4 linked regions of the Callithrix jacchus genome follow. The protein of the gene in region 1 interacts with the protein of each later gene in a biochemical or structural test. Links are inferred from orthologs where the notes say so. Each region holds a gene or a part of one and is shown in the gene's direction. Other genes may lie near its edges. The genes, in order: DNM2, SNX9, SH3GL2 and ITSN1.

What was found.
Region 2: the proteins of DNM2 (region 1) and SNX9 form a complex in vitro, tested with the Homo sapiens proteins (2 studies listed by BioGRID and IntAct, with this or other methods). The link is inferred for Callithrix jacchus from reciprocal best matches to the Homo sapiens genes DNM2 and SNX9.
Region 3: the proteins of DNM2 (region 1) and SH3GL2 interact in a biophysical measurement, tested with the Homo sapiens proteins (2 studies listed by BioGRID and IntAct, with this or other methods). The link is inferred for Callithrix jacchus from reciprocal best matches to the Homo sapiens genes DNM2 and SH3GL2.
Region 4: the proteins of DNM2 (region 1) and ITSN1 form a complex in vitro, tested with the Homo sapiens proteins (2 studies listed by BioGRID and IntAct, with this or other methods). The link is inferred for Callithrix jacchus from reciprocal best matches to the Homo sapiens genes DNM2 and ITSN1.

What each region holds. Positions count from the first base shown.
Region 1 is NC_133523.1:9,990,198-9,996,986, forward strand, and holds part of DNM2 (dynamin-2), read left to right. Parts: intron 1-1,118; coding exon 1,119-1,230; intron 1,231-2,399; coding exon 2,400-2,564; intron 2,565-4,884; coding exon 4,885-5,117; intron 5,118-6,027; coding exon 6,028-6,279; intron 6,280-6,789. UniProt on the Homo sapiens protein: Catalyzes the hydrolysis of GTP and utilizes this energy to mediate vesicle scission at plasma membrane during endocytosis and filament remodeling at many actin structures during organization of the actin cytoskeleton.
Region 2 is NC_133505.1:164,734,624-164,741,778, forward strand, and holds part of SNX9 (sorting nexin-9), read left to right. Parts: intron 1-387; coding exon 388-472; intron 473-3,862; coding exon 3,863-3,988; intron 3,989-4,105; coding exon 4,106-4,223; intron 4,224-7,155. UniProt on the Homo sapiens protein: Involved in endocytosis and intracellular vesicle trafficking, both during interphase and at the end of mitosis. Required for efficient progress through mitosis and cytokinesis. Required for normal formation of the cleavage furrow at the end of mitosis.
Region 3 is NC_133502.1:124,388,272-124,395,426, forward strand, and holds part of SH3GL2 (endophilin-A1), read left to right. Parts: intron 1-1,373; coding exon 1,374-1,477; intron 1,478-3,811; coding exon 3,812-3,942; intron 3,943-5,976; coding exon 5,977-6,176; 3' UTR 6,177-7,155. UniProt on the Homo sapiens protein: Implicated in synaptic vesicle endocytosis. May recruit other proteins to membranes with high curvature. Required for BDNF-dependent dendrite outgrowth.
Region 4 is NC_133522.1:39,728,270-39,736,067, forward strand, and holds the start of ITSN1 (intersectin-1), read left to right. Parts: upstream 1-2,969; 5' UTR 2,970-3,180; intron 3,181-7,798. UniProt on the Homo sapiens protein: Adapter protein that provides a link between the endocytic membrane traffic and the actin assembly machinery. Acts as a guanine nucleotide exchange factor (GEF) for CDC42, and thereby stimulates actin nucleation mediated by WASL and the ARP2/3 complex.

The sequences.
Region 1 (6,789 bases):
GGCTCATGCCTGTAATCCCAGCACTTTGGGAGGCCGAGGCGGGTGGATCACGAGGTCAAGAGATCGAGACCATCCTGGTCAACATAGGTGAAACCCCGTCTCTACTAAAAATATAAAAAAATTAGCTGAGCATGGTGGCGCATGCCTGTAATCCCAGCTAGTCAGGAGGCTGAGGCAGGAGAATTGCCTGAACCCAGGAGGCGGAGGATGTGGTGAGCCGAGATGGTGCCATTGCACTCCAGCCTGGGTAACAGCGAAATTCCGTCTCAAAAAAAAAAAAAAATTGAGGATGGGGGAGACAGGGTTTCGCTCTAGCACCCAGGCTGAAGTGCACAGTGTGTTCTTGGCTCACTGCAGCCTCCACCTCCCATGCTCAAGTGACCCTCCCACGTCAGCCTCCCAAGTAGCTGGGACTATAGGTGCATGTCACCACACCCAGCTAATTTTTGTATCTTCTGTAGACACAGGGTCTTCATGTGTTGCTCAGGCTGGTCTCTAACTCCTGAGCTCAAGCGAATCCCCTGCCTCAGCCTTCCAAAGTGCTGGGATTACAGGTGTGAGCCACCACGCCTAACCCTTACAAAAATTTTTTCGTTTTGTTTTGTTTTTGAGACAGAGTCTCACTCTGTTGCCCAGGCTGGAGAGCAGGGTATGATCTTAACTGACTGCAACCTCCACCTCCCAGGTTCAAGCAATTCTGCCTCAGCCTCCTGAGTAGCTGGGATTACAGGCGCCTGCCACCACGCCCAGCTACTTTTTTGTGTTTTAGTATTGACGGGGTTTTACCATATTGGCCAGCCTGGTCTCAAACTCCTGACATCAGGTGATCCGTCCACCTCGGCCTCCCAAAGTGCTGGGATTACAGGTTTGAGCCACCGTGCCTGACCAACTTTCTTTTTTAAAAAAAAACACACAAAAGTGCAGATAAAGTTCTGATGGACAGCGCTGCTCTGGGCTATCTGGGAGCTCCCCAGCCACAGTGGGTGTTGGGAGACACATGCCCACCTCTGGGTTAGGATTGGGTTCCTAATCAGTTAGAAGGACCCCCAGAGCCCATGCCTCTGGGCGGTCTGCCAGGCCCATGGTCAGGGTCAAGCATGCCCCCCCCACCCCCGCAGAAATGTCTACAAGGACCTGCGGCAGATCGAGCTGGCCTGTGACTCCCAGGAGGACGTCGACAGCTGGAAGGCCTCCTTCCTCCGAGCCGGTGTCTACCCCGAGAAGGACCAGGTGAGGAGCTGCCCTGCACAGCTGGCACACCTCAGGCCCGGCAGCCCCCACCCAAGAGAGGAAACAGGGCTGGCTTTCCCCAAGACTGATCATTTCCAGGCCACGTTAGCCAGGATTCTCTGAAGTCATGTAGCAGATGCCCACTTGAGCAAGCAAAGGAGAAACTGGGGCACTTTGTCATCAGGGCCCAGAAAGTTCTCTCACTGAAGCCAATGACGGCGGCACGCAGGGGATGGGATTCCACCTGCTTTGTTCTCTTTTCCCCTTCCATCCTTGAGGTAGAGTGAACATGGCTACCCTTGACCCCAATATTAAAATGTCTCAGCTGGGCACAGTGGGTGGCTCACACCTGTAATCCCAGCACTTTGGGAGGCCTAGGCGAGCAGATCACTTGAGCTCAGGAGTTTGAGATCACCCTGACCAACATGGTGAAACCCCAACTCTACTAAAACTGCAAAAATTAGCCAGGCATGGTGGCGCATGCCTGCAGTCCTGTTACTCAGGAGGCTGAGGCAGGAGAATCACTTGTACCCAGGAGGCGGAGGTTGCAGTGAGCTGAGATAATGCCATTGCACTCCAGCCTGGGCGACAGAGCAGGACTTCATCTTAAAAATAAAATAAAATGTCCCAAGGTCGGGCGCAGTGGCTCACGCCTGTAATCCCAGCACTGTGGGAGACTGATACGGGCAGATCGTTTGAGCCCAGGAGTTCAAGAACAGCCTGGGCAATGTTGTAAAACCCTGTCTCTCCAAAAAATACAAAGCATACCCAGGCATGGCAGTGTACCTCTGTAATCCCAGCTACTCCAGGGGGCTGAGGTGTGAGGATCACTTGACCGCCCCCCAGGAGGTTGAGGCTGCAGTGAGCTGTGTTTGTGCCACTGCACTGCAGCCTGAGTGACATAGAAAAACTATCAAAAAACAAACAACAACAAAAAACAACCACGTTCCAATGCCCAGGTGAGGGGATTCACCCCAGCATCAGCCAGGATCACCCCATTGTTTGGGCAGCTCTGGCCTGGGGCAAGCAAGTCTGCCTGGTACCAGCGGGGCTCTCAGGGGCCAGCATGAGGTCAGTTATCGATGGGACAGTAGGGCAGATGGTTACCAGAGAACCAGGACTCGCCCCAGGCCAAGGTCACCCCTAAGCACCTCACCTCCCACTTGCAGGCAGAAAACGAGGACGGGGCCCAGGAGAACACCTTCTCCATGGACCCCCAGCTGGAGCGGCAGGTGGAGACCATTCGCAACCTGGTGGACTCGTACGTGGCCATCATCAACAAGTCCATCCGCGACCTCATGCCAAAGACCATCATGCACCTCATGATCAACAATGTGAGTGGAACACTGAAAGTGAGACGGAGGCGGCCGGGCGTGGGGCTCACGCTTAGTCCCAGCACTTTGGGAGGCTGAGGCGGGTGGATCACTTGAGGTCAGTTCAAGACCAGTCTGGCCAGCAAGGCAAAACCCCATCTGTACTAAAAATACAAAAAGTAGCCAGGCATGGTGGCACATGCCTGTAATCTCAGCTACTTGGGAAGCTGAGGCAGGAGAATCACTTGAACCCGGGAGGCGGAGGTTGCAGTCAACTGAAATCGTGCCATTGCATTCCAGCCTAGGCAACAGAGTGAGACTCCATCTCAAAAAAAAAAAAAGATGAGAAGGAGGTCAGGCATCCTGGCTCACACCTGTTTGTAGCACTTTGGGAGGCTGAGGCGAGAGGATCACTTGAGCCCAGGAGGTTGAGGCTGCAGTGAGCTGTGGTCATGCCACTGCACTCCAGCCCGAGCAACAGAGTAAGACCTTGTCTCCAACAACAGCAACAGCAACAAATCAGAACAAGTCACTACCCTTTAAACACCAGAATCTGCACGGCCAGTCTCTTTGGGAAACCCTAGGGCTTCCGAGCCATACTGGGTCCATGGTCCCATTGAGTCCACTAACTGGAACGAATACCGCAGATCTGCACCTTCTCTCAATTACTTTATGCCGGCCTCAGACTAACTGCACGAGGGAGAAATGCTATCTTCTCCATGGTGATGGGCACCTGTAATCCAGCTACTCAGGAAGCTAAGGCAGGACAGTGGCTCGAACCTGGGAGGCAGAGGTTGCAGTGAGCCGAGATCATGCCTTTGCACTCCAGCCTCGGCAACAGAGTGACACTCCATCTCAAAAAAAAAAAAAAAAAAAATGAGGCCGGGCGCGGTGGCTCACACCTATAATCCCAGCACTTTGGGAGGCCGAGACGGGTGGATCACAAGGTCAAGAGGTCGAGACCATCCTGGTCAAAATGGTAAAACCCCGTCTCTACTAAAAATACAAAAATTAGCTGGGCATGGTGGCGCGTGCCTGTAGTCCCAGCTACTCGGGAGGCTGAGGCAGGAAAATTGCTTGAACCCAGGAGTCAGAGGTTGCGGTGAGCCGAGATCGCACCATTGCACTCCAGCAACTGGGTAAAAAGAGCGAAACTCCGTCTCAAAAAAAAAAAAAAAATGAGAAGGAGGCCAGCCACCCTGGCTCACACCAGTTTGTAGTCCTGGCACTTTGGGAGGCTGAGGCAGAAGGATCGCTTGAGCCCAGGAGGTTGAGGCTGCGGGGAACTATGGTGGTGCCACTGCACTCCATTTCACAGACAGAAAACTGGAGGCCAGAGAGATAAAGTAACCTGCCCCAAGTCCCTTAGGAGAGTAGGAAGTGGGATTCAAATGCACGTTCACTCTGGTTGCAACCTTGCCTTCAGGTCGTGTCGGGCAGCTGCTGTGTCCTGATGGGCTGGGGGCGCAGCCTGTCTTCCTCATGGGCATCACCTGCCTGGCCCCAGGTTCCCTGGAGACTCTCAGGGCTCTGAGTTCCTCTTCTGTGAAATGCAGCTGTGCTGATACGATCTCCAGCTCAGGCTGCTGGAGGGTTCAGGGCATTTGTGGGTCATGCCTTTGGCATGGCACTAGCCACTCAAAAAGCTTTATAAACCAGCTTTGGGGCTGGAGCAGTGGCTCATGCCTGTAATCCCAGCACTTTGGGAGGCCAAGGCAGGTGGATCACCTGAGGTTGGGAGTTCGAGACCAGCCTGACCAACATGGTGAAACCCTGTCTCTACTAAAAATACAAAAATTAGATGGGGTGGTGGCGCACACCTATAGTCTCAGCTACTTGGAAAGTTGAGGCATAAGAATTGCTTGAACCCAGGAGATGCAGGTTGCAGTATCACCCACTGCAGCCTGGGTGATAGAGTGAGACTGTCACAAAAACATAAACAAATAAAAGTATAACAGGACTATTCTGCCAAGGTTAAGGAAATAAATAAGAAGCTAAGACAGTATCAATAGAAGAGACAAGATGCTAGGAGTAAGTTGAATAAGAATCTCATAAGCAGCCTGGGCCGCATGGTAAAGCCCCATCTACAAAACCTAGCTAAACATGGTGGTGTGCGCCTGTGGTCCCAGCTACTCAGGAGGCTGAGGCAGCAGAATTGCTTGAACCTGGGAGGCAGTGAGCCAAGATTGAGCCACTATACTCCAGCCTGGGAGACAGAGCAAGATTTCTCAAAGAAGTCTGGGGGTGGCCTCGCCCTGTGGGAGATGTATTTCCAGCAGTCATTATGGGTTCTGGGTTGGGGTGATGCAGAAGCCTGAGCCTCCCCAACCCCTGCCCGCAGACAAAGGCCTTCATCCACCATGAGCTGCTGGCCTACCTGTACTCCTCGGCGGACCAGAGCAGCCTCATGGAGGAGTCAGCCGACCAGGCGCAGCGGCGAGACGACATGCTGCGCATGTACCACGCCCTCAAGGAGGCGCTCAACATCATTGGCGACATCAGCACCAGCACCGTGTCCACGCCCGTGCCCCCGCCCGTCGACGACACCTGGCTCCAGAGCCCCAGCAGCCACAGGTCCGGGAGCCTGGTTCCCCTACCCACAAGCGTGCAGCCTGCAGGTTCTTGTTCTCCCCGCGTGTCCTGCAGGGTCCTGGCAGGAAACGGGACACAGCCCAAGGGTGGGCAGGAGAAGGGGCGGCCCCCAGGCTGGGCACAGTGGGAGCTGCTGCCTTGCTGAGGCCTGAGAAGGGAGAGAAGGGGAATGGGGGCCAGCCGGCCTTGGAGCTCTAGGGCTGGAAACCATGAATAAATCCACCCCGTCTGCCCTCTGCTGGTGCCTTCCATCGGCACTGCCCAAATGGAAGCCAGGGTAAGAGGCTGGAGGGGCAGCAGCCACAGAACAGAGATGAGCCTCCTGGAGGACAGAGAAGGGTGGGTGGAAGGCTCTGGTGAGGCAAACGGAAGGTGTGGCCAGACCTGCCCTGCCCCCGAGGTGTCGGATGGAGTGTAGGCCATTGAGGCAGTCACAGGGAACCTCGGGGCCACCCTACAGAGCCCTTGGGGAGCCATGGTGTTAGGGGGAGTACATTGCACCTAGGCCTGCAGGCGGCAGGTGCTGGGGCCCAGGAGGGAATCTGGGTTTCTCGGAAGGGCTTGTGTGTTCCATGGCCCCTGAAAGCTTTAAGGCTTGATCTGGGAGGACTCTGGAGTGTCTGGCTGTGAGGGTGGATCCCAGGGCCCGAGACCTGAGGGAGCCGTGTGAGTGGGAAGTGCTTGGCCACGTTGGGGCTGCGGGGACGAGGTCAGAGGGCAACAGAAGCCCTTGGGGGCCGGGAGAAAGGGAAGGTGGGTCTGGCGCTCAGGTTGGGGTGGGAGGATCCCACTGCGCCTGCGCTGTCCCCCCAGCCTTGGGCCCTGGCAGCCACAATTGGCATGGCTGGGATTCCCACTCCGTCTGTAGTTCACACCCTTTCCTTCCTCACAGCCCTACTCCTCAGCGCCGACCCGTGTCCAGTGTGCACCCCCCAGGCCGGCCCCCAGCGGTGAGGGGTCCCACTCCAGGGCCCCCCATGATTCCTCTGCCCATGGGGACAGCAACCTCCTCCTTACCACCCCCAATCCCGTACCGGCCTGGACCACAGAGCGTGTTTGCCAACAATGACCTCTTCCCGGCCCCACCTCAAATCCCATCGCGGCCAGTTCGGATCCCCCCAGGGATCCCCCCAGGAGTGCCCAGGTAAGGCCAACCCCCTGCCCCCCACCCCAACTACCTGTACCCTGGGGTCTCTCCTCCAGTCTCACTGCCTCCCAGTGAGCTCTCCCCATGTGCCCAGCTGCTGGATTGGAGGAATTGTCCTCATCCCCATTTGGCTGGCTGGGAAGCAGGCCCAGACGGGCCAAGAGGCTTGTTCAGTGTCACAGAGTAGGGGAGCCCGGTGACTCCAGGGCTCCCAGCTTGCCCTCTGCCCACTGGGATGCACTACCAGGCAGCTGGGGATCCCTCATGCTGGGCACCTTCTCTCACTGTTAACCTTGTTCCTGCCTCTGCCTGCCTCACTCTACCCTGTGGGCCGGGCCTTATTCTCTCTGCTTATCCAGTGGGGAAGCTGAGGCCCAGATAGAGCAGGAAACTCACCAAGGGTCAAACAGCAGGTGAATCGATGCCTGGGGTTCAGCAAACTCCTCCCCAGCACCCTGGTGGCTTGTGGAGCCGTCAGCCCAGGGAGCACCCTGGGGTGGCGTGTGG
Region 2 (7,155 bases), on another chromosome or scaffold:
AGAAATGCCAGCAGGTGGCTGTTGCTCGCTATGGCCAACTCAGATTGGTGTGCTCACTACTCATTGCCCCAGGGAACTAGGGGACATATTTTCAGGTCTGCCCTTCACTCTCTGGGGTGACAGAATGTTTCAGGTAACAGTCTAGCAAATAGAGCACCTGTTAACATCATACCTTCTGGAGTGAAACTGTTCTCTTTACCAGATCAAGCTTAATTAAATGCCTAATTGGCTATTGAACAATCTGATTACTTTAGGTTTCTTTTACCACAGTTTCCTAGCACCTGAAAGACAGGACAAGGTCAAAACTGGTAAATTAAGTAAATGTGGACGGGAGTTGTAAAATTCTTGAAAGACTTAAGACTCACGAACGTTTATATTCATGATTAGATTTCCTGGATTTGCAAAACCTGGCACGGAACAGTATTTGTTGGCCAAACAACTAGCAAAACCCAAAGAGAAAATTCCCATCATTGTAAGTTTATTCATTTTGTTTGCTTTCTTTCTGATTCAGCTCTTTCGTAATACTGTACCTTAAAGCTAAGTAGGTTATTCATCTTTTGGCAAGTATTTTAAATATATTTAATGCCCTAAGTAACTGATAAGATCTGTTAGTTTTGTAGTATCGAAGATAATTAGCGCAAATTAATGTCATTATGTTGTTTATCTTTCAGACTTTTAGTATTGAACAAACACTCATAATACATACTGTTTTGATCATTTTTTCTGAAGTATCTTGAAGTGTATTTTACATACTGTTTTTCTGCCAGCCCTTTATGTTTAATGAACTCAAGTCAAGTATTTACCTTTCTTCCCTCGTAAAGTACATGTATATTATTAGAATAAGGTGCCCTTTCAGGGATATTGGTAATAGTGTTTTTTGTCCAGTAAACCAGCTGTCAAATTGAGGTAAGGAGCTTCCAGATAGAAGCTGGGAGTTAAGGACATCATTAAGAATACCTGTCTTAAAATTATGTGGTTATCGTATAACGTGACGCAAGCCCTTTGGTTTCACTCCACATTTTGATCAGTGATAGATTTTCTGTCTAGGTGATATTTAGTTGTAGATTCCCAAATGAAACTCTGGAAAAGAGAACTGTAGCTATCTTCTGATCCTGTTGACTTAACCCTGTAACAATCAGATTGGGAACAGGGGGAAGCCTTGAGTGTTCTCACCCTGGACTTGGTCAAGGATAAGGAAACATCTGGTCTTACTCTGTAATCTTTGGAGACTTGATAAAATTGCAGGAAGAGTGTTAGATTCTCTAATTATTTGTCCCTACATCTTTGAATTCTTGAAACTCTTCAGACTCAAGAGTTGTATAACCAAGAGCCTTTGTTATACTTTTTCCCTCAAAGCAAATTTAGGGTAGCTAACTTCTGAGTACTTATATTAAAGATTTTTTTCCTGTTTTCTCTGGACTTAAAAAAAAAATGAACATGTACCATAATTCTTTTCATTACATTTAAAACTCTGCAAAGTCCAGGGCTCACAGCTCTGCCTCAGATTCTTTGTCTCAAGCATGCAGTGGTGGTACAGAGCTAAGGGTCCCAGCCTTTCATTGACCTGCAAGTTTTAGGTAGAACTGGACCCAGTAGTAGGCAGGTCTGCCTGTGTGGGCCTCTTACATGGAAAAAGCTGAGGAAAGCCACTGTGTCTTCAGGAGGCCCAGAGAAAGCAGAGACTCTCTTTGCTCTAAAAGTGCAGTAACCTTGCCCACTCATGAAACAGAACCCCATGAAACTGGGCCCTAGCCCAGCACAGTTGCCGCTCTCGGCCCACTCATGGAGGGAGTTCCCAAAAGTCATCTTCTCTGCAGCTTTCTGGTAGTTTCTTGGATCTGGGCTCTCTCTGAGGGAGTTATAGTCATTCTCAGAGATTTTTCTTTTTGGTCTCTTTTTAAACTACTCTTATCCTTGGACTAGGACACTTTTCTGACCTAACAGACTCCAGACTCTGGACTTTTATATCCCAACCCGCTTTTCCCATCTTCCACTTATATATGTATATATATGGCCAGGTGCAGTGGCTCACACCTGTAATTCCAGCACTTTGGGAGACTGAGCTGGGTAGATCACGAGGTCAGGAGTTCAAGACCAGCCTGGCCAAGATGGTGAAACTTTGTCTCTACTGAAAATAGAAAAATTAGCCAGGCATGGTGGTGGGTGCCTGTAATTCCAGCTACTCAGGAGGCTGAGGCAGAGAATTGCTTGAAAACGGGAAGTAGAGGTTGCAATGAGCCGAGATTGTGCCACTGCACTCCAGCCTGGGCAACAGAGTGAGACTCCATCAAAAAAAATGTGTGTGTGTATGTGTGTGTATATATGGACCACTTTTTTTTCTTATGTCTGCCTGGCCTTGCCTCTCTGAGGTCTCAACCTAAACAAATCTCTCTTCCTTCAGCCCAGTCTGTGTGATTTTTCTAATTTTCTTTTTACCTTCTTGCTGTACTTTTTCAAATCTGCAAGAATAAAACCTGTTCTACATATTATTTCATTCTCCTTGAATCTCCAAGTGAATTCCCTTCCTAGAAATAATGGTCCTTTTGCAGTTTATTCTATTCCTAGATTATGATTCAATTATTTTTCATTTTCAAGCCAAGAAAATAGGTAGCATTCTCAGTATAATAAGGACTTCTGTTGCTCTGAAATGTGCTTCGGTAAGATCTGCTGTCCTCCAGTCTGAATCTCTAGAATCAATCTGTCATTGTGATCAAAGCTTCTGAAATGAATGTGCCGGCAAACAGCTTGACTGTTGGTGACCCAGGGAGTGACTCCAGGAGCTGTACATGAGCTCCAGCATCCAGATTCCTCTGCAGCTGCCCCCATGGCCTTGGATGTTGTTTTAAATAAGATGAACAAAACCAGGTTTGCGACAGCAGACCTGTTGTCTCCTAGCAATGCCTAGCAGAAGTGATCCTCAGGCTCAAAACTTACACACAAGGTGTTTACATCCCCATTTGGAACTCGGCTGGTTTCCCTTCCTCACTTCCCACCGCAGCTAAAACCCCAGCTAACTAGTGGTAGCCTTGCCTGAATTTTTGAACTTTGGCCCTTGTCACAGATAGGAGAGAAGGCCAGTGGGAAAGGAATGGAGGCCTCCCCTCTTCGGGCAAGCCTTGCCCAGGTGGGCCTGATACCTGGGGTTGGAAGTGAGCCAGACAGCTGTGCATAGGCACAGCAGTCCGTGGAAAAAACAGCTCGCCTGGTTCTTGCTTTGAGACGTAGTACCTCCGCATGCCCCCACCGCCCCCTCCCATACTAGTAGTAAAACAATGGCTCTCAGGCTCTGGCCAGTCTGATGAATCACTTCTGTGAGCCAAAACAGTGCTACTCAAAGTATGGTGCAGAGACCAGTTGTCCATCTGAAAACTGCTTGTTCCTGATCCGCCGTGAGATGGGTACAGAACACGAGAGTACTTAGAAAACTTGAGGGCAATTTGGTACTGTTCAATAATCACAACGTGTAATGTTTCACCAAACTATTAGTTTGTGATAGATTGGAAAATTTTAAAAAGTAGTTCTTCATCACATGTAGCTTGAGACAGCTAGACTAGAAAGAGACAAAGAGACATTGTGTTGTAACCAGCACTCTCCTCGGGGGAGGGAAGCTGGTATCTCTTCTCCATGGGCTGAGCTACCCACATGGGAGCAGAGGGGTTGTCCCACAGGCGTGTTCTTTAAACATAATATCTAATAGGAACAGAAACCGTTGAACCGTTTGTTACTTCTCAAAGAGGAACAAGAATGGCCCCCCAGAGGCCTTGTCATTCTGAAAAGAATTACTTGCTGATGTACATCACTTGTATTTATTGTTTTTATTTTTCCATGTAACAAAATTACTTTTTTCTGGAACGATGCATAGGTTGGAGATTATGGCCCAATGTGGGTTTATCCTACCTCTACATTTGACTGTGTGGTAGCAGATCCCAGGAAAGGCTCCAAAATGTATGGTCTGAAGAGCTACATTGAATATCAGCTGACACCTACTGTAAGTGTCCACGTTATCAAAAGCAAAATCATGTTTGCATCACTGATTGCAGCTTGCTGTTTTCTTCATGTTCTGGAGTTGGCATTGATAACCTTTTCTCTTCCCCTCATTTTGTAGAACACTAATCGATCTGTAAACCACCGATATAAGCACTTTGACTGGTTATATGAGCGTCTCCTGGTTAAGTTTGGGTCAGCCATTCCAATCCCTTCGCTTCCAGACAAACAAGTCACAGGTGAGTGTGTTTAATGCTAAACTCAGGATGACAAATAAAAAGACTCCAGCTAGATTATCCTCCTGTAAGTCAGTGATAGCGTTTCACATCCTATAGAGCAGCAGGATGTAGGAGTTGGAAACAGTAACTAAATTCAGCTATGAAGAGAGAACCGTAACATTTAGTACATATATCTGGAAGTTGCCTAAACATCTAACAGGAACATTTAATGTACACATCAGAGGTCTTTGTATGTGTCTTAAATTCCAGCAGAGTCATTGTCTTCATGGCAGCACCCTTTCGTATAAAAGAAATATTTAAAATATTTAAAGATTTCACATTTAAAATATGTGAAAAGGGACACCTGAAAAAGTAGAAATGAATCATTCAAATAGCCTAAAAAGGAAATAAAAACATATGACCCACATACTGCAAATAGGTTATACAGATGAGCTGCATCATTTCATTAGATGAGTGAGCGCTGGCCGGAGAAGCCACGAGGCTGCTAAGTGTTAACGAAGGAAGAAGCTGCCCTATTTTCTACTTAGGTTATTACCCTCGCCCTTTTCTTATTTTTTAAAAGTGCCACATTCCTCCCCCCGACCCCAATCTTTTGGTAAGTAACCCATGTTGTTACTAGAGCACTTTGTGGGTATTCAGTAGAAAGGGTTTGTTTCTGTGTCTGGGAATTGTTTTTGTTTTTAATCTCCAGCCGGTAGACTCTGGTACTCTGTGTAGCCACTCAGGGACTCAGCATGCGTGTGTTAAAATAAAGGTTGTGAAGAAACAGACTTAAAGGTTAAGCAGAGTTTTAGTATATTGCAAGAAAATGTTCACATTCGTGAATTAGTGAAAATAGAAAAGAGTGGACCGAGAGTGAGAGGAGGTCTTAAAAGATCAGAGCCAGAGAGGCCTGTAAGAGATGTGAAGAGGCTCACCTGAACACAGGGAGAAGAAACATGGAGGGGTAAAGGAAGGGTTCTTTCCCCAAAGGTCAGGGAAGACCAGAGGCGGTGGAATTCTCACTGCACTGGCAAGAGTCGAGATAAATGGTTCAGAGAGGGCCTGCAACTTCACAGCCAGGTAGTGATGCCAGATGGAGACATGTCAGCACTGCGTGGGGTTCGCCCCACATGTGCCTGGACACTTCCCGAGTGCTTCTCGTCTGTCCTCACAGACATCTATCTTCACTTTACAGATGAGGAAAAGGAGATCCAGAGACATTAAACAGGTTCCCCTCTCTCTTGCCGAAAAAGGAATTTGAATCTGATCCCACAGCTTACTGTGTTCATGTTAACATGTGGACTGACTAATCTTTCCCTAGAATTAGTTTTCATACAATGAGTAAATTACTCTCCTTAAAACATTACTCTGTATTTTACTTTGTTTTATGTTTATTTTTCTCTGAAGTGTTTTGTGGAGATGGAAAGTTTTGTTTTTGATTTTGATGTTTTTGGAAAACTTCAAAAGTTTCAAATTGTCATAGCAAAATGGAAAATGAGGCTGCACTGCTGAGTAGAGAAACACATCCCCACAATCCCCTAGGTGACACTCGAGTGGTCCCTCATGGTGCTGGGGCCGTGGCTGCTGCTGCCTTCTGCCCAGAGGTTCTGACTGCACTCCTACTTCTAACCCAGCTCAGACACTCCCTGTACCTCCTTTTGTCATCCTTACTGCTTTCCATCAGCTTTCTTTTTAAAAACACAGCTTTCTTTCCATGAAAACTTCAGTTCTGCCTTTTAAAATTATAGTCTGTTTCCTTGAATTTTGTACTCTCCTTTATCAACTTAGCACAGTGTGTGCTTTATAGTGTTTAAATACATGGATTAATGGCCTATTTCAGGATTGTAGGAAATTCTCAATCTTTCAGATTTTAATACATTGTTTATTCTGAATTGGATAATTCAGTGCTTTTTTTAAAGCTTCAGAGAGTCATGGTTCTCCTTTCATACTAAGTTTTGTTTAAAAAAAAAAATAAGTTCAGGCATGCAGCCAGGGGAATAGCATAGAAAAGCAAGAAAGCAGCAGCCCCTCGGTGTAAAGAAGTTGAGCTTTGATTCACTGACTGGGATGTGAGCCAAGGAAGCCAAAGAGCACAGAAGGGCTCTATTCCCCTCTCACTTGTTTCTCTTGCCTGTGGTGCCTACAGGTCGTGATTATATAAGAACTCCCTCTAACTTCACTACGGGAGAAAAAAAAAGGAATGATTGGTAGATGATGCTTTGACATTGCTGTGGACCCAATAATTCCTCCATGAAAAATGTACAGTTAAGATTTCTTTGTTTTGATATTATTGTTCTTTATGGAATTAATATTGAATGAATATGGTTTTATTCCTGGTACCAAACTGATATATTTACATACTTAATGAAAACCTTAGTAAGGTTCATTGAAAACAGGGAAACAAAAGTTCCTCCTTTTTTTTAAATTCTCTGCAACTTGGTCTGAAAATCCTACCAAGCATAGAATTACATCTGAAGTCATAAGCTTAGAGATAAACCAGCTATGTCAGAAAAATTTTGACAAGAAGAATTTTTTAATAAAACAAGAATCGCTGAATTTCAACCAGTGATTGGGTAATGAACTCTGGGTGTAACTCACCTGGCCATAATGGGGAGTTCGTCATATCCCAGGTTCATGCTGGCTTTCCAGCCAGGAGGTGGATTGTCATCTTTCCAAGGCACGAGGCTTTGTTTCTGCTTAATCTACTCCTAGTAAATGCAGAGTTTGAAATGCTTTAGTATGCAGTGTCTAGACTCATTGTTCTGTTCAAGTCTACTTTTTAGATGATAAAAGTTTTTGATATGTAGGTGCATAATACCTGTGTTTTATTTATATATTTTTTTATTTTTTTATTTTGGAGACAGGGTCTCACTCTGTCACCCAGGCTAGAGTGCAGTGGCACTATCATAGCTCATTGCAGCCTTGACTTCCTGGACTCAGGTGATCCTCC
Region 3 (7,155 bases), on another chromosome or scaffold:
TTATTGAATACTGTGTTAAAAGTCAAAAACAGAGTGGTTGTGTGGGTAATTGAAGTATGGTTTCTACTGAGTGCATATCACTTTTGCACTGTTGTACAGCCTACAAATTGTTAAGTCGGGGACATCTCACTTACCAACAGTGGAAAGATAAAGAATATTTCTGATGATCTATGCATAAATTCAGTAGAGGCCTGAGAACTCAGTTGTGGAGGACGGGGCATCAGTAGTACTGGTGCCAGTCCCAGTGTCCAAAAGCCAGAAAACCTAGAGATGTGATATCCAAGTGCAGGAGCATATGGGTACCCTTCCCTAGAACAAAAAGATAACAAATTTGCCTTTCCTCTGCTTTTTGTTCTCTCTGAGTCCTGAGATGAGTGGATGGTGTCCACCTGCATAGGGAAGGGCAGCTCTTCCTTAGCCTACTGAGTAAATGCCAGTCTCCTCTGGAAACACTGTCACAGACACCCAGAAATAATGCTTTACCACCTATCTGGGGATCCCTTAATCTAGTCAAGTTGACAGCTAACATTAACCATCACATTGCCTACTCCTGACTGTGGCAGAGGAGGCATTTGAACATATCCAGACTTTCCTACCACCTGGAGACAGTGTAGGTTTGTGTTTATGTAAGACAACTTGTGTCCACCTAACTCCTTGAGAGAAATACTGTGGGCATGAGGGGTGATTCAAATCACAGTGCTCCTTCCCTGCCACCCAGCACCCCTCCCCATCCCCAAATTTATGGGATAACACTGCCTCTGATGGCTTGGAGGCTGCTTCCCAGCTGGATCATAATGTGAAACACAAAATCAAGAGAAATCAATCTTTGAATGTTAGAGCAGGAATGAACTCAAGATGTCACTTGATTTAACCCTTTTACATTATAGATGAAGCTCAGAGAGCACAGAAGACTCTCATACCATATCATCTCTCCAGGTGCATTTTATGAGATATTATCACATTTTTATTAACAGGACTGATATTAACAGCATGAAAAATATAGGGAACAAAGAGTCCTTTGGCCAATATACCTTCTTTCCCATGGGAAATTAATAAAAGAAGTCAAATCCCAAATACAAGATGGTGGCTAAGCATGAGACTCTATAGAGCTATGTGGTCTTCCTGAGGATTCCTAATGTTGCTTCTCCTCATGGTACTGATATGTGTGGTTCTAAGCATAAGGATGCTTTCTTATCCTTGATCGATTTGAAACCTGCAGAACTATGTGTCCTAGTTGGCTCATGACACAGTCATCAGTACCATCAAGCAGGGGCTGTGTGTTGAGGGCAGCTCTGTTGTATGTATGAAACAGTAATGGCTGCTTAAGGAGGGTGATGTGGAAACTAAGGCATGATTTTCCCATCCATCTGCAGATTGAACAAGTGAGCCAGCTCTCTGCACTTGTGCAAGCTCAGCTGGAATACCACAAGCAGGCAGTCCAGATCCTGCAGCAAGTCACGGTCAGACTGGAAGAAAGGTATTCTAGTTCCCTGCATTTCACATTTGCATTTTCTTGCTATAAAATGATGTAGAAAGAAATGGAAATCATAGAATACATTTGAAGACAAACATCTGCCAGAATTCCTGCTTATCCTGCAGAGGCACCTTGTGTATTGTTGGTTTTGATTTTGTTTTGTTTTGTGCATTGTTCTGTTTAATCTAATTTTCTGTTTATGAGAGGTCGATACCTGGATTATATTTTGGCTGCCACAGGTGGGATACCAGGAGGCTACTGCTGATAATGGATGCCATTTGCTGGGCAGATGTTCCGTGTGGGTACTGGATACATATCATCATCAATCTTATAATAGCCCTGTAACCTAAGTATTTTTAGCCTCGACTAACAGATGAGTAAACTGAGGCTAAGAGAGGTGAAGGAACTAGCTCAGGGTTACTCAGTGGTGTGACTGGAGTTCACAACCAACCATAACCTGTTTGAAAGGCTCTTTTTGACTAGGCATGGTGGTTCACGCTCTTAATCCCAGCACTTGGGGAGGCTGAGATGGGCAGATCACCTGAGGTCAGGAGTTTGAGACCAGCCTAACATGGAGAAACCCTATCTCTACTAAAAATACAAAATTAGCTAGGCATGGTGGTATATGCCTGTAATCCCAGCTACTCTGGAGGCTGAGGCAGGAAAATCGCTTGAACCCGGGAGGCAGAGGTTGCAGTGAGCCGAGATCACACCATTGCATCCCAGCCTGGGCAACAAGAGGAAACTCTGTCTCAAAAAAAAAAAAAGGGGGTTGTTTATTTTTACATCTCGTGTTTCTCTGAATGGTGATGAAGGTCCTCTGCCATCAGAGACAGCTGCTTTCACCTCCTTAGTTGCACCTCACAGCAGGGTGTTAGCAGCAGGAAACCATGTGAGTGCGGCTCTGTGGGGTCCTGGGGCACAGCCTGTGTGGCTACATACCAGTGGCCCTGTGTTATCATATGCTTTTTATTTTAATTTAGCCAGATTAAACAGGATGATTTTGCTGAACACATATACCTCAAAGGGTCAACTCAGCAGGCTTTTTTCTTAGATTACATGGCCAGGTTAAACTCCCATAGCTAGCTGATCACATGGCTGAATGCATGATGAACAGTCTAGTCATACAATTTCACGCTGTTGAAAATATCACCTATATTCACTGTTTTCTTCTGACTGATCTTGTCTCAGTATCTTCTTTGATTTGTGGTTTGATTGAGCATTTTCCTTCAGTGCACCCTTGTGGAAATGTATGTAAGCCTCCAGAAAGGTTTTAAAACCATGTACTTCAAAATACTAAAGAAATGTTATGTGTCTTTTAATATCTCTTGCGCATGAAGGGAGCACTTTCCTTTTTTCCCTCTGAAATATGTTCAAAATCAGTATCAGTCTACAGTTAGCATACCCTAAACCCTCGTTCTCCCTTGCACATCTCTTACATACTTTGTTTATTGAATACCTGAGACTGTGGAAAATATTTAGGGGTGGGCAGAAGACACTTATTGGCCGTACCTTTCCAATTTCCCTCTGTCTTCCCTCTTTCATCTTTTCCTCCCTGTATCTCAAACTGCCCATTCTCTTCAGAGCACACACTACATTTCCTCCTTCCCTCTGTCTAAACCTTCTCATATTCTGCATGGAATAGCTTCCTTTCACATTTTCATTTGGGAACGACTCCTGTATATCTTAGTTCTTTCCTTAAGCCTTCTCTACCTTCCCCATGGAGAGGTAGTCTCCTTCCCACCTTCACCACCAACTACACCCCTGTGTTCCTGTGGCACTTTGTAGATATCTCTGACAGTGCTTACTAAAATTTATGGTAATCAGTTGTTGATGTTCTCCCTCCCTTACAGACCATAATCTGTTTGTGTCTTTTTTTTAATTAAAAAAATGCGGATACATAGGTGTATATATTTATGGGGTACATGGCACATTTTAATACAGGCATGCAATGTATCGTAGTCATATCATGGAGAATAGGGTATGCATCCCCTCAAACATTTATCCTTTGTGTACAAGATCTGTGTCTTAATTCATTTTTGTGTTCCTGTTACCTAGTACGGTGTGTATTTGCATAAAGGACTCCGAATAAATGAAAGAGGAAGTGAGGGATTGAGAGAGAGAATGAAGATAGTAAGGATATGGCCCCATAAAAAGACATCACCAAAATCTCAGATATACACATAGAAGAAAACTAAGGGTCCTTTTTTGATTTCCCACACTTTGTCATGGTAGAATGGTGGGTGACCCAAGCATATCCTGAATCTTTATATTCATGTTTCTTTTTACTTCTTAACTGGCTACATAACCCTCCCACCACTTTCCTTTTTACTGCAGAATAAGACAGGCTTCATCTCAGCCTAGAAGGGAATATCAACCTAAACCACGAATGAGCCTGGAGTTTCCAACTGGAGACAGTACTCAGCCCAACGGGGGTCTCTCCCACACAGGCACGCCCAAACCTTCAGGTAAGGAGCTGAGACTGCAGGTCCTATTGCATAGGCCTTGGCATATCCATCGGCACTTTTGCAGAAATTGTAGGAACAATCCAATCTGGCTGCATAGGAAATATGCAGTAATATATTTCTTATGGGGTGGTTTGTCAGGTAGAAACTCTGTTAAAGAATTCCTTTTGTCTTCTTTCATTGACCTTTTTCTTTCCTTCCTTTTCATTCTTCTCTATAAAACTTTGTATATCCCTTTTTCTCCCTCAGTCATCAGCACACATGAACATATTTTATTCTGACCCTCTTTTGTGGTCATAAATCACCTTTCCTTGTCAGTTTGGTGCCACAAGTGTTATCTTTGTTTCCTACCTGTTCTCTCTGAATCCAGCCTGCATAACAATGAATACCCCTGGGCAGCGTGTCCCCATATGCATTCACATATAACCCACAGACGGCAAGCGGCTCCAGAAATGTGCTGATGAGCTGGATTTCTTGAGTCACAGAAACATATGGTTAAATATATTTGCAGAAGAAGATATTTTTAATTTCAACACTTGCTAGCTTTCTTTCCCATGCCTCACCTCTGATCAGTTTATCATGCTGTTGTACTGAGTTTGATATAATTAAAGTTAGATGACATTTAATCTCAGGAATATCAATGCATACCTAATAGAGTATTCTTTTCCTTGTCACACTTGTTCTCCATGCCCTACACATAGATTACACAACAGCCTGTGCTGGAGACATTTTCAACCTCCACATTTGCTTGTTCAAAGTGGGAACCGTTTTATACTGCATATGGATGTTAGAGACAGGCAGCTTTCTTTTATTTTTCCTGCATCCTCCGTGCTTGATGTTCTAAAGTAGAAAACTTTATAACATGCTCTCAGGAGATTTATTAAGGAAAAAAGTGAGGTCTGAGCCAGCAGGTGGCGCTCTCTGTCCTTTGCGCTCAGTGCTTCAAGGCACGGCATAAGCAGCCATGGCTCCTGGAGCTGGCTACCAGGACTGGTCATAGAAATTGTGTATAGCTGTGATTCTCCCTGCCTGGAAACCAACCGTATGTTTCACCTTTCATCTGGAGACTCATTAATTTGCTTCTCTGTCTAAAATCAAAAAATAAATTACATTGTTTCTTTTCCTGCCACATAGATGGCATGGGAGCCATATGCGCTTGACTGAGTCTCTATCTACGTGTGTGTGTGTAATATTAATGGATTGGGTCATTTGGAAAGATCCCTCTTAAGATGTGAGTTCATCCTTCATTATTTTACTCAAGGTAGAGTACATTGTTTTTTATATGCCATAGCTCCAGGGCACTGCATATATTTATATATACAACAATTTACCAAGTATACATTTTATGATTTTTTTTCAGAAGCTAATTTAATAGCCACAATAGTAATGTGTAGTAAGTCCTACTGTTAGACCCAGTTTCAGATACTGAAACTCAGAGTGAAGTACCTTGTGCAAGGTCAAAAAGAATTTCAACTCAGTGTTTTATATTATTCTGTTTTTACTACAGTACAGCAGTTTCCAGAGGCTAGGGTTGTTATTTTAAAGAGTGATAACTGAACTATTACTCTGAGGTTGCAAAACATTGTCCATGTAAGTAACCATACTTTTTCAAATATGCAGAGATTTTAAAGTGCTCACGTGAGAGAATTCTGGCCATGCTGTGTTATTAACCTACATCATTCTATTCTTCTGAAGTCATTATGCCTCTTATTACTGGGCATTATCATGAAGGCAGACTTTAATGAACTCTTGTATGTATCACAAGAATAGATGTGACCATTTTTCATACTGGAAACAGAAACAGGAATATATAGCAACTTCCAAAGGTTTGAGGAAATTTTTGAGGACTAGTAGCGGGCAAGATGCCCAGTGCAGTGGACACTGAGGTCTGGTAGCAAGAAGAAGCTTCAACAGGAAGAGGAATGAGGGAGGAAAGACGGGGAACAGAAAGCCAGGTGGGTACAGCAGGCAGCAGATTCTGTGAGTTAAATACTCTTCATCCTCTTGTGTTCTCTTCTCTCCTGCTTTTACTCTCAGGTGTCCAAATGGATCAGCCCTGCTGCCGAGCTCTGTACGACTTTGAACCTGAAAATGAAGGGGAGTTGGGATTTAAAGAGGGCGATATCATCACACTCACTAACCAAATTGATGAGAACTGGTATGAGGGGATGCTGCATGGCCATTCAGGCTTCTTCCCCATCAATTATGTGGAAATTCTGGTTGCCCTGCCCCATTAGGATGTTATGCTGGCTGGCTCACCTCCTCTTGACCCAGATAGTTACGGTTAACCACTGCTTTGGTAATGCTGCTTATAACACATCCCAAGTGCAGGCCGCAGTGGTCCACGTCATCCAGCCCCACCAAGTGTCTTTGGTTGACTTGTGGGCTCCCACAGGAGTCATGGTGATGGATGATATCCTCTTAGCCTGTGGGCATGGCATGTGCTTTTTAAACAACATCTGAGACCAGCCAGTAGTCACAGAACTGCTGTTTACACAGTTCTCAGGAGGCTGTGGTTTCTTAGAATATGACTGTGAGCCACATCACAGAAAAACCATCCCACTGAAGATATTGTCTATCACCCAGGGGCCATCTGAAGGTCTCTTTGCATTTCTCCATGCAAAGAGGAGAAAGCGTTTGCTTTCACAGTGTCCCTTCCCAAATACGTGAGTCATGGAATTGTCAAAGAAAGCCATCCCTCACCAGCAAATTGTTTCCTGATCTGAATGAATTTGTCTCTTAATGCATCCATAGAAAAGTGTTTCAAAGCATTCTGTGCAAACAGGCATCTCAGTTCTTATTCACACTTATGGCTATTTCTGAGGTATAGCCAGTTTTCTTCCCTCCTTGCTATTAAAGCCAGAGAGGTAATTCTAAATTATTTTTCAGTAAGATAGTTAACAATCAACATTATTATGAGAGGGGCTAAAAAGAGGAAATTCTCCTTTGTGAGAAGTTGGGAAGAAATCTGGTATCTGAGCTTAAATTTCTTGCTGTACAGAAACTATGTATGCATTTAGACTATTTATGAAGGACACAGGGAAGGGGTAAGAAATATTTTCACTTCTGTTTTATTTATGAATTACATGTTTCATGAATCCATTTGACACAGAGACACAAGGAGAAAAACACTAGTAACCATTTTTCCACTAGTCCATAGACTGAGAAACAGTAAATTCCTTTTCTTTCCACTGTTACCTTGTGTTCTTTGAACAT
Region 4 (7,798 bases), on another chromosome or scaffold:
TTAAGCATGTGACTCTGGGACAATGCAGGTGGAGGTCCCTGGTGATGACAAAAATAACCAACTGAAGGATCCTTCCACAACTCTACCACACCGCAGTTACTAGCTCCCCTGCAATCCATTTAACTGATTTTCTTTTTTACCTACTAACATTACCAAAGCTTGTAAATGCTTAATTTTCCATTTCACTAGAGGATCATGGAGAAACCCCTTCTTGCTTCAAATGAAAAATATGAATTCTAATTTTGATTATCAAATATTTACTAATTCAAAAATCAAGAGAAAATTTCATGTCTTTACTATGTATACAATGGAAGAAATTTTTTTGTAAAATACCATATTTTAGCATATGTATATATGCATTTTTTTTGTTTTTTTGAGACAGGGTGTTGCCCAGGCTAGAGTGTAGTGGTCACGATTTCGGTTCACTGCAACCTCTGCATCCCGGGTTCAAGCAATTCTCCTGCCTCAGCCTCCTTAGTAGCTGGGATTACAGACATGCACCACCATGCCCAGCTAACTTTTGTATTTTTAGTAGAGACAGGGTTTCACCATGTTAGTCAGGCTGGTCTCGAACTCCTGGCCTCAAGTGATCCGCCTGCCTCGGCCTCCCAAAGTGCTGAGATTACAGGTGTGAGCCACCACGCCCCGCCTAATATGTGTATTTTTGCTCTTCTACTCTTAAAATTCTCCTGAGCTCAATGTAGTACTAATCATTGGGTCTACAAAAAGAGTATAGTTTCACTGCACAAGGCTGGCAGCTTGATCTTGTATGGGGAACTCTCTCAAATCTAAACATCTTATCCCCTGCTATAAGCTGGAACAGAGGCATCAGTGAAGGGAAATCAGTAATAAAAAGTAGTAATTTTACACTGCAGTGGCTGCTGGATCAGATTTAGAAGTCAAAACTGCCTCGAGTTTGAATCCTGGCTCTCCTACTTATCAGCTGTATGACTTTGGGCTACTTAATTTTAACCTTCTGGGCCCGAGATCCCATATCTTAGATAATAACAGCAGTTATCTCAAAGGGTTGACATAAGGATTAAATAGTACATGCAAAGCACTCAGGGCAACATCATACTTTCAGAAATGTTGGCTATTTTAACTATTATTTCTGTAAGTTGGGCATATTTCAATTACAGAGAATCTCTAAAGTAGTTCTGAAGCCCATCTCACAGAGTTGCAAAGGGTTTCGTCAATGCAACCTTACTTTTCACACCTTTTAATTTCTGCAGTGGGCTACGGTAGCAGCCACTAGCACAGGTGGCTACTGAGCACTCCAACTGTGTCTAGTCGGAATTGAGATGTGCTGGAAGTGGAAAATACACATCAGATTTCGAAGATTTAATACGAAGAACGTAACATCTCAATTTAAAAATATTTGATGAAGCGATGAAACAGTAATGTCTCGGATATACTGGGCTAAATGAAGAATATAATTAAAATTAATTTCACGAAGTTTCTTTTCACTTTTTAAATGTAGCTACCCCAAAACTTAAAATGACATAAGGGGCTCGCAGTATATTTGTACTGGACAGAGTTTAGGTAAAACCTTGCTGCTCATAACGTGGACAGCCACACCTGGGAGCTTCTTAGAAACGCAGATGTTTCTGGCTTCTACCCAGACCTACTCCAAGGCAATGCTTACATCTCGCTCCAGATTATTCCGCTGTTTAGCGGAATGAAGAGGGCAGATCTGGCTCGAAAGCCACATACAGCGAATAATTACTAACTGCTTTCCGAATACAGCAAAGGGATGAGGAAGAAAGAAGTGGCTGAGAAGAAGTAACAGAGGAAGAAAAACACACTCAAATTCTAGAAACAAGCAACAGTGGAGAAAGACTCAACCTGGGAGATTGAGTGGAAGGGCACTCCCAGACCTCGGTCTCCATAAAAGTAGAGGGAGATGCAAACTGAGATAAGACCTACAATCAAAACCCGTCAAGGTCCAGGAAACTGTCCCTCAAATCTAGTCTTACCCGCCCCTCAGCGGCCTCAGCTAAGCTAGGCCTGGGCCCGAAAGAGTCTCCGGTTGGGGTTCGACGCGAACCACCATCCTCCCCAGGGCTGCACGGTTTCGTGGGGCATCTCTCCACCTTTCGCTTAAAGTCCCGTTTCTCAAGACACAGAACGCGTTTCCTGGGGCTCACCTGCCTCTGATCCGCCCCAACGGCCTGCACCTTCGCCACCGCCACCTTCAAGTCCTTCCGCAGAGAGCCCGCCCCCCGCTCGCATTGGTCAGGTGGCTCGTCACTCCTGAAGGGCGGGGTCGGACTTGCGAGGCTGTCGAGGACGCCATGGCAACCGGTCTCGAAACTACATCTCCCGGCAGGTTCCGCTCGGGGGCGGGGGAAGAGGCGAGGCACAGCCCTAAGGGCTACCAATAAATGGGCGAAGTGGGAATCGCCTGCATGGGTTCCGTTTTATGCAAATTCTAACTGAAGACCACACCCTTCCTCATTCCAACCACTGCCCCTGCCAACCGCTTTGGGTGGTGCTTCGCCTCTCTTTTCCTTTCCACATTATTCTCTCCTTTAAAACCTCCAATAATTAACTTAGTAAGTGCATCCTATCTAGCGTCTTGCACTGGAACGAGCAGATGCGCCGAAATCGTGGAGCAAAATCTCCATAAACCACGATAGGGCAACATCAGACAAGAAATCCCCGGTTTCGCCTACGTCGCGGGGAGAGGAGTGCTAATCTCGCCCCCCCCCTCAACGCCTGCTGATTGGCTCATTTGGCTTGTCACTGTTGTCTTACAGTTCTTTGGCTCTCCCTCCTTGGGTTTGCTCGGTGGGTGGGGCCAGCGGTAGGGGGCGGTGAGAAGGTGCGAGCCTCTTCTTCCGATTGGCAGGAGGTTTTTCCACCCACTTGTGGGCGGAGACGGGGGGGTGGATGGGGGCGGAGGAGGCAGCGGAGGGAGATGAGGAGATAGGCGGGAGCAAGGGAGCGAGGGAGGGAGAGAAGGAGGTAGAGAGGAGTGGAGGCGCCGGGGGAGGGAGAGCAGCTTGGTTGCTCCGTAGTACGGCGGCTCGCGAGGAAGAACCCCGAGCGGGCTCCGGGACGGACGGAGAGGCGGGCGGGGATGATTTGCGGGGCTGCGGCTCCTGCGTCCCTCCCCGCGGCGCGTGAGCGGCACTGATTTGTCCCTGGGGCGGTAGCGCGGACCCGCCCGGAGATGAGGTGAGGAGCGGGCTGCACGGCGGCGGCCTGGATCGCGGGCGGCGGCGGGGGCGGGGGTCGGCGCGGGGGTCGGCGCGATGGCCGCCCGGGGCGTCCGTCCCGCGCCCGGTGCTTGTCCCCCCGGCCGCCCTTCGCTCCTCGCCGCGCGCCCGGGAGACGGCAGCGGCCGCCCCTCCGCCTCGTCCTTCCCGTCCTCGGGGGCGGCGGCGGGGCGGCGGGGCGACGGGGCGACGGGCGGACCCGCACCGGGAGGCCGGGGGCCGCGGCGGGCCGTGGCGTGGCGGCCGCGGGACCGGCGTGGGGATGAATGGGCGCCGCGGCCCCGTCGCCGAGCGGGCTCTCTCCTCCCGCGGAGACCCCGGGCGGCCGCTTCTTCCCGGGCTGACCTCGCTGCCCTCGGCCACCGGCGCGGGGCGGCCCGGCCTCGCCTCCCGCTGGCCTCCCGGGGACCCGCGCTGGCGGGAGCGGCGCCGCCTCTGCCTGGAGCCCCCGCTCCTTCCTCGGCTCCTCACTCGAGAGCCTGCAGAATCCTGGGTCAGTGAAGGGCAGGCAATGCCGTTCGGCCCCAGGGCGCGCCGCGGGGCCGCCCCTAAAGGCATTTAACCGAGAGCGGCTCCCGCGCCCTGTGAGCGCGTCCCCGGGTCTGCCGCGTCCCTTCCCTTCTTACGCACCGACACGGTTTTGTGGTGTGGACCCAAGGCACAATTGCGGCCGCTTGCTTGCACGAGGGAATGCCATCAGAATTCCCAAGGAAAGGAAACCGGCGAGGAGTCGGCCGCACCTTCCTGCGCTTCTGCTTGCTTTGGGATTCGAAAACAACTTCGGAGATTACATTTCCTATGGGCAATCTTTTGTTTTGATTCAGACTCGAGAAGGCTTTGCTTTGGAAGAAATAGATTAGCTTCTTCTCTGTGGAGTTGGAGGCGATGGAGATTTTTATAGCCTCTTCAATATGAAAGTTTCCTCTAGAACTTTGCCATCATCGTGCTGTTCTGAGGGCAGCAGCAACCTGGAAATTTAAATATATGCAGGCTCCGGCCAGATGCGTTTCTTTGTGCCTGTCTATTGGCATTCTTCTCTTGCTGTTCCCTCTTGATCAAAACGTACAGATAATAAAAACAGAGCCAATGAGAGGGTGGATAATAACAGCAAATTCCATACAAACAAATGCCGCTAGAAATTCTCAGTTCTGTCAGCGGGGAGGCAGTTTTGCTAATCCCGTGGAACGGATGAAGAGAAAGGCACAGAGATCTCATGGATTATGTAGTGGACAGGATGTGAGGGCAGGAACTGGGGCCAGGACCCAGCAGGCCAGCTGGTTTGCATGGTGCCACTCTAAACCCCCAAAATATGAATAGATGGAATGTATTTTTTGGATATCTTTGTTTTTAGATGACTTTAAGGCTGAGAGTGCAGAAGCTTAAACACCCTTCATAGTTATTATTTCTTAGTTTATCTCTGAGAACAAAATATGTTTCTGTTTAAAATTTCTTTTACTGGTTTGCTGGAAACGTTATTTTGATGGGAGCTTCCTTGTTAGTAAAAACATTAAAAAATACATACATGTGAAAGAAAAATCCTTTCTGCAGGTGGATTTGTAAAGAATCCAGGGACTTTTAAGTCATATAAATTAAGGAATGAGGGACACTAATTTGATGATGGTGTTAAAATTACTTCAGACACCCTTAAGTAATCCATTAAAGATCATTTCTGATAGTATGATCTTTTTTAAAAAATGGTATTTCTTTATCTAAGAATGTATCTGTTGAAATTGCTGAGGCGCATGGTACCTTCAGAAATCTCCATTATTATTCTGCCTGAGTAAGAGAGGAGATGAACAAATTTTTAATGTACTTTGGAACCCTGTGGATTGCTCAGATACTAAGCATTGTGAAATAGGGCATAAAATAGGGTAGCAAGTTAGTTCTGTGAAATGTTTGTCTCTCTTGGCATTTTTTTTTCTTGGCAGTTGACTAGCAATTTTCTTTTTCTTAAAGCTTATCTTTAATATTGGTAGTAGAACCTCTGCTCAAGTTTATCTTTTCCCCAAATGCCTAGTTTGGGACAAACTATCAAGCTCCTGCAAGAGATGAAGGAGGAGCTGATGGTAAATGCCTTTACTTTTTTTTTTTAAGACAGGGTTTGGCTGTGTCACTCAGGCTGGAGTGTAGTGGCGCAATCATGGCACACTGCAGCCTCTAACTTTTGGGCTTCAGTGATCTTCCTGCCTCAGCTTCTGGTGTATCTGGGACCACAGGTGCATGCCACCATGCCCAGCTAGTTTTCAAATTTTTTTCTAGAGACAGGGTCTCTCTATGTTGCTCAGGCTGGTCTAAAAAGCCTGCCTTAAAGGATTCTCCCACCTAGACACTAGGCCTCCCAAAGAGCTGGGATTACAGGGATGAGCCACTGTGCCTCATCCAAATTCCCCTACTCTATTCTTTTTAATTTGCTAAAATTTGCGAATTGTAGAGAATTAATGACATGAGAGTTGGGGTTATATTACACACCTCAGATTATTCTGCCATAGAGCTATTGCCTTCTGAATGATCACTTCCTCCTGAATGGCTCCACTTACTGGTTGGGTTTCTCAAAGTGTGGACCACGGATCATTTACCTCAGTGTTAATGGAGGCACTTGTTAAAAATACAGGTTTTGGGCATGGTGGCTAAAGCCTGGAATCCCAACATTTTGAGAGACTGAAATAGGAGGCTAGCATGGGCCCAGGAATTTGAGACCACCTTGGACAACATAGAGAAACCTTGCCTCTGAAATAATTTAAAAAAAAAAAAAAAATGCGCTGGGCATAATGACTCGTGCCTATATTCCCAGCTCTTCTAGACTCTGGGGTGGGAGGATCTGGTTCACTTGAGCCCAGGAGATCGAGGCTGCAGTGAGCCATGATTGTCCTACTGCATTCTAGCCTGGACAACAGAGTGCCTGTGTCCAAAAAGTAAGTAAGTATATAAATAACATAAAAATAAATACAGGTTTCTGTCACCTCACCCGACAGCTGGAGGTGGAGCCCTGGAGTTGGTATTTTTACTGCCTTCTCCAGGAATTTCTCTTGCATAGGGAAGTTGGAAACCAGTGGCTTCCTTCTTGCTGAGCATCTCCTGAGACCTGCTTCTGAAGTGGATAGAAAGTTTTTCTTTTTCTTTCTTTTTTTTTTTTTTTTTTTTTTTTTTGAGACAGTCTTGCTCCGTTTCCAGGCTGGAGTGCAGTGGCGTGATCTCGGGTCACTGTAACCTCTGCCTCCCAGATTCGAGCAATTCTCCTGCCTCAGCCTTCCGAGTAGCTGGGACTACAGGTGCGCACCACCAGGCTCAGCTAATTTTTGTATTTTTAATAGAGATGGTGTTTCACCGTGTTGGCCAGGATGGTCTCTATCTCTTGACCTCGTAATCCGCCCACCTTGGCCTCCCAAAGTGCTGGGATTACAGGTGTGAGCCACTGCGCCTGGCCCGGATAGAAAGTTTTTCAAGTGGCAGGTTAAGTTTTATGCCTTAGGTTGCTAATAAAAAACAATTGACCATGACCTTCAGCTACATAATTGTACCTGTCATGTACCTTTCAGAAGGCAAAGGCTTTGGTTCACCACTGTACCACCAGGGCCTAAAACAGTGCCTGGCGGAACTCAATTAAATGTTTGTTGAGTGAATACATAAACTACATTGCAGTGAGGCCAATCTTTTTTTTTTTTTTTTTTTTTTTTTTTTAAGAGACAGAGTGTCACTCTGTTGCCCAGGCTGGAATGCAGTGGCATGCTCTCAGCTCACTGCAACCTCCGCCTCCAGGGTTCAAGCAATTCTCTGCTTCAGCTTCCCAGGTAGCTGGGATTACAGACACCCACCACCATTCCTGGCTAATTTTTTTGTATGTTTACTAGAGACGGGGTTTCACCATTTTGGCCAGGCTGGTCTTGAACCCCTGACCTCATGCTTTGAAATCCTGACTGAACTCCTGATCCACCTGCTTTGGCCTCCCAAAGTGCTGGGATTACAGGTGTGAGCCATTGCGCCCGGCCAGGCCAATCTTTTAAAAGTTTACTTGTCAAATTAATCTATAACTTAGTAGTCACTGACTTTTTAAATTAGGAGCCACAAGCACCATACGCCAGTGACTCCTGTAAGTTTGGTTAGTTTTGAAAGGAGAGACATTTCCCAGGAGTAGTATGCTCAAGGCGACTAGCCAGAAAGAAGATTCATAGCAAAGCATTTGCTTAGAGACTCCAAATGTAAATTTATGTTACAGTGTAGTGGTACATCTTATGTCATACTTATATTTGGTATATTGTCTTATATCGAAATACCATTTTATTAACCATATAATTCCAACATACTGCTATAAAAATTGGTTTCTAACAAATACAAAGAGTTGTTATGTTTTCCAATTTCACTTTTCACGTTAATAAAATTTGACCTTTACACCTTCTTTTCAAGAGTTCAACACAGGGCACCATAGATATTATGTAGTTACGAGTGCAGACTCTGGAGAATATTGTGTTTGACTACATGTAGTTGGTGAGTTTGATCGAACCTCTCAATGCCTCATTTCTCAGCTGAAAATAGGAGTAGTAATAATCAAGTTCAGATATTTCTATGTGCTTACTTACATA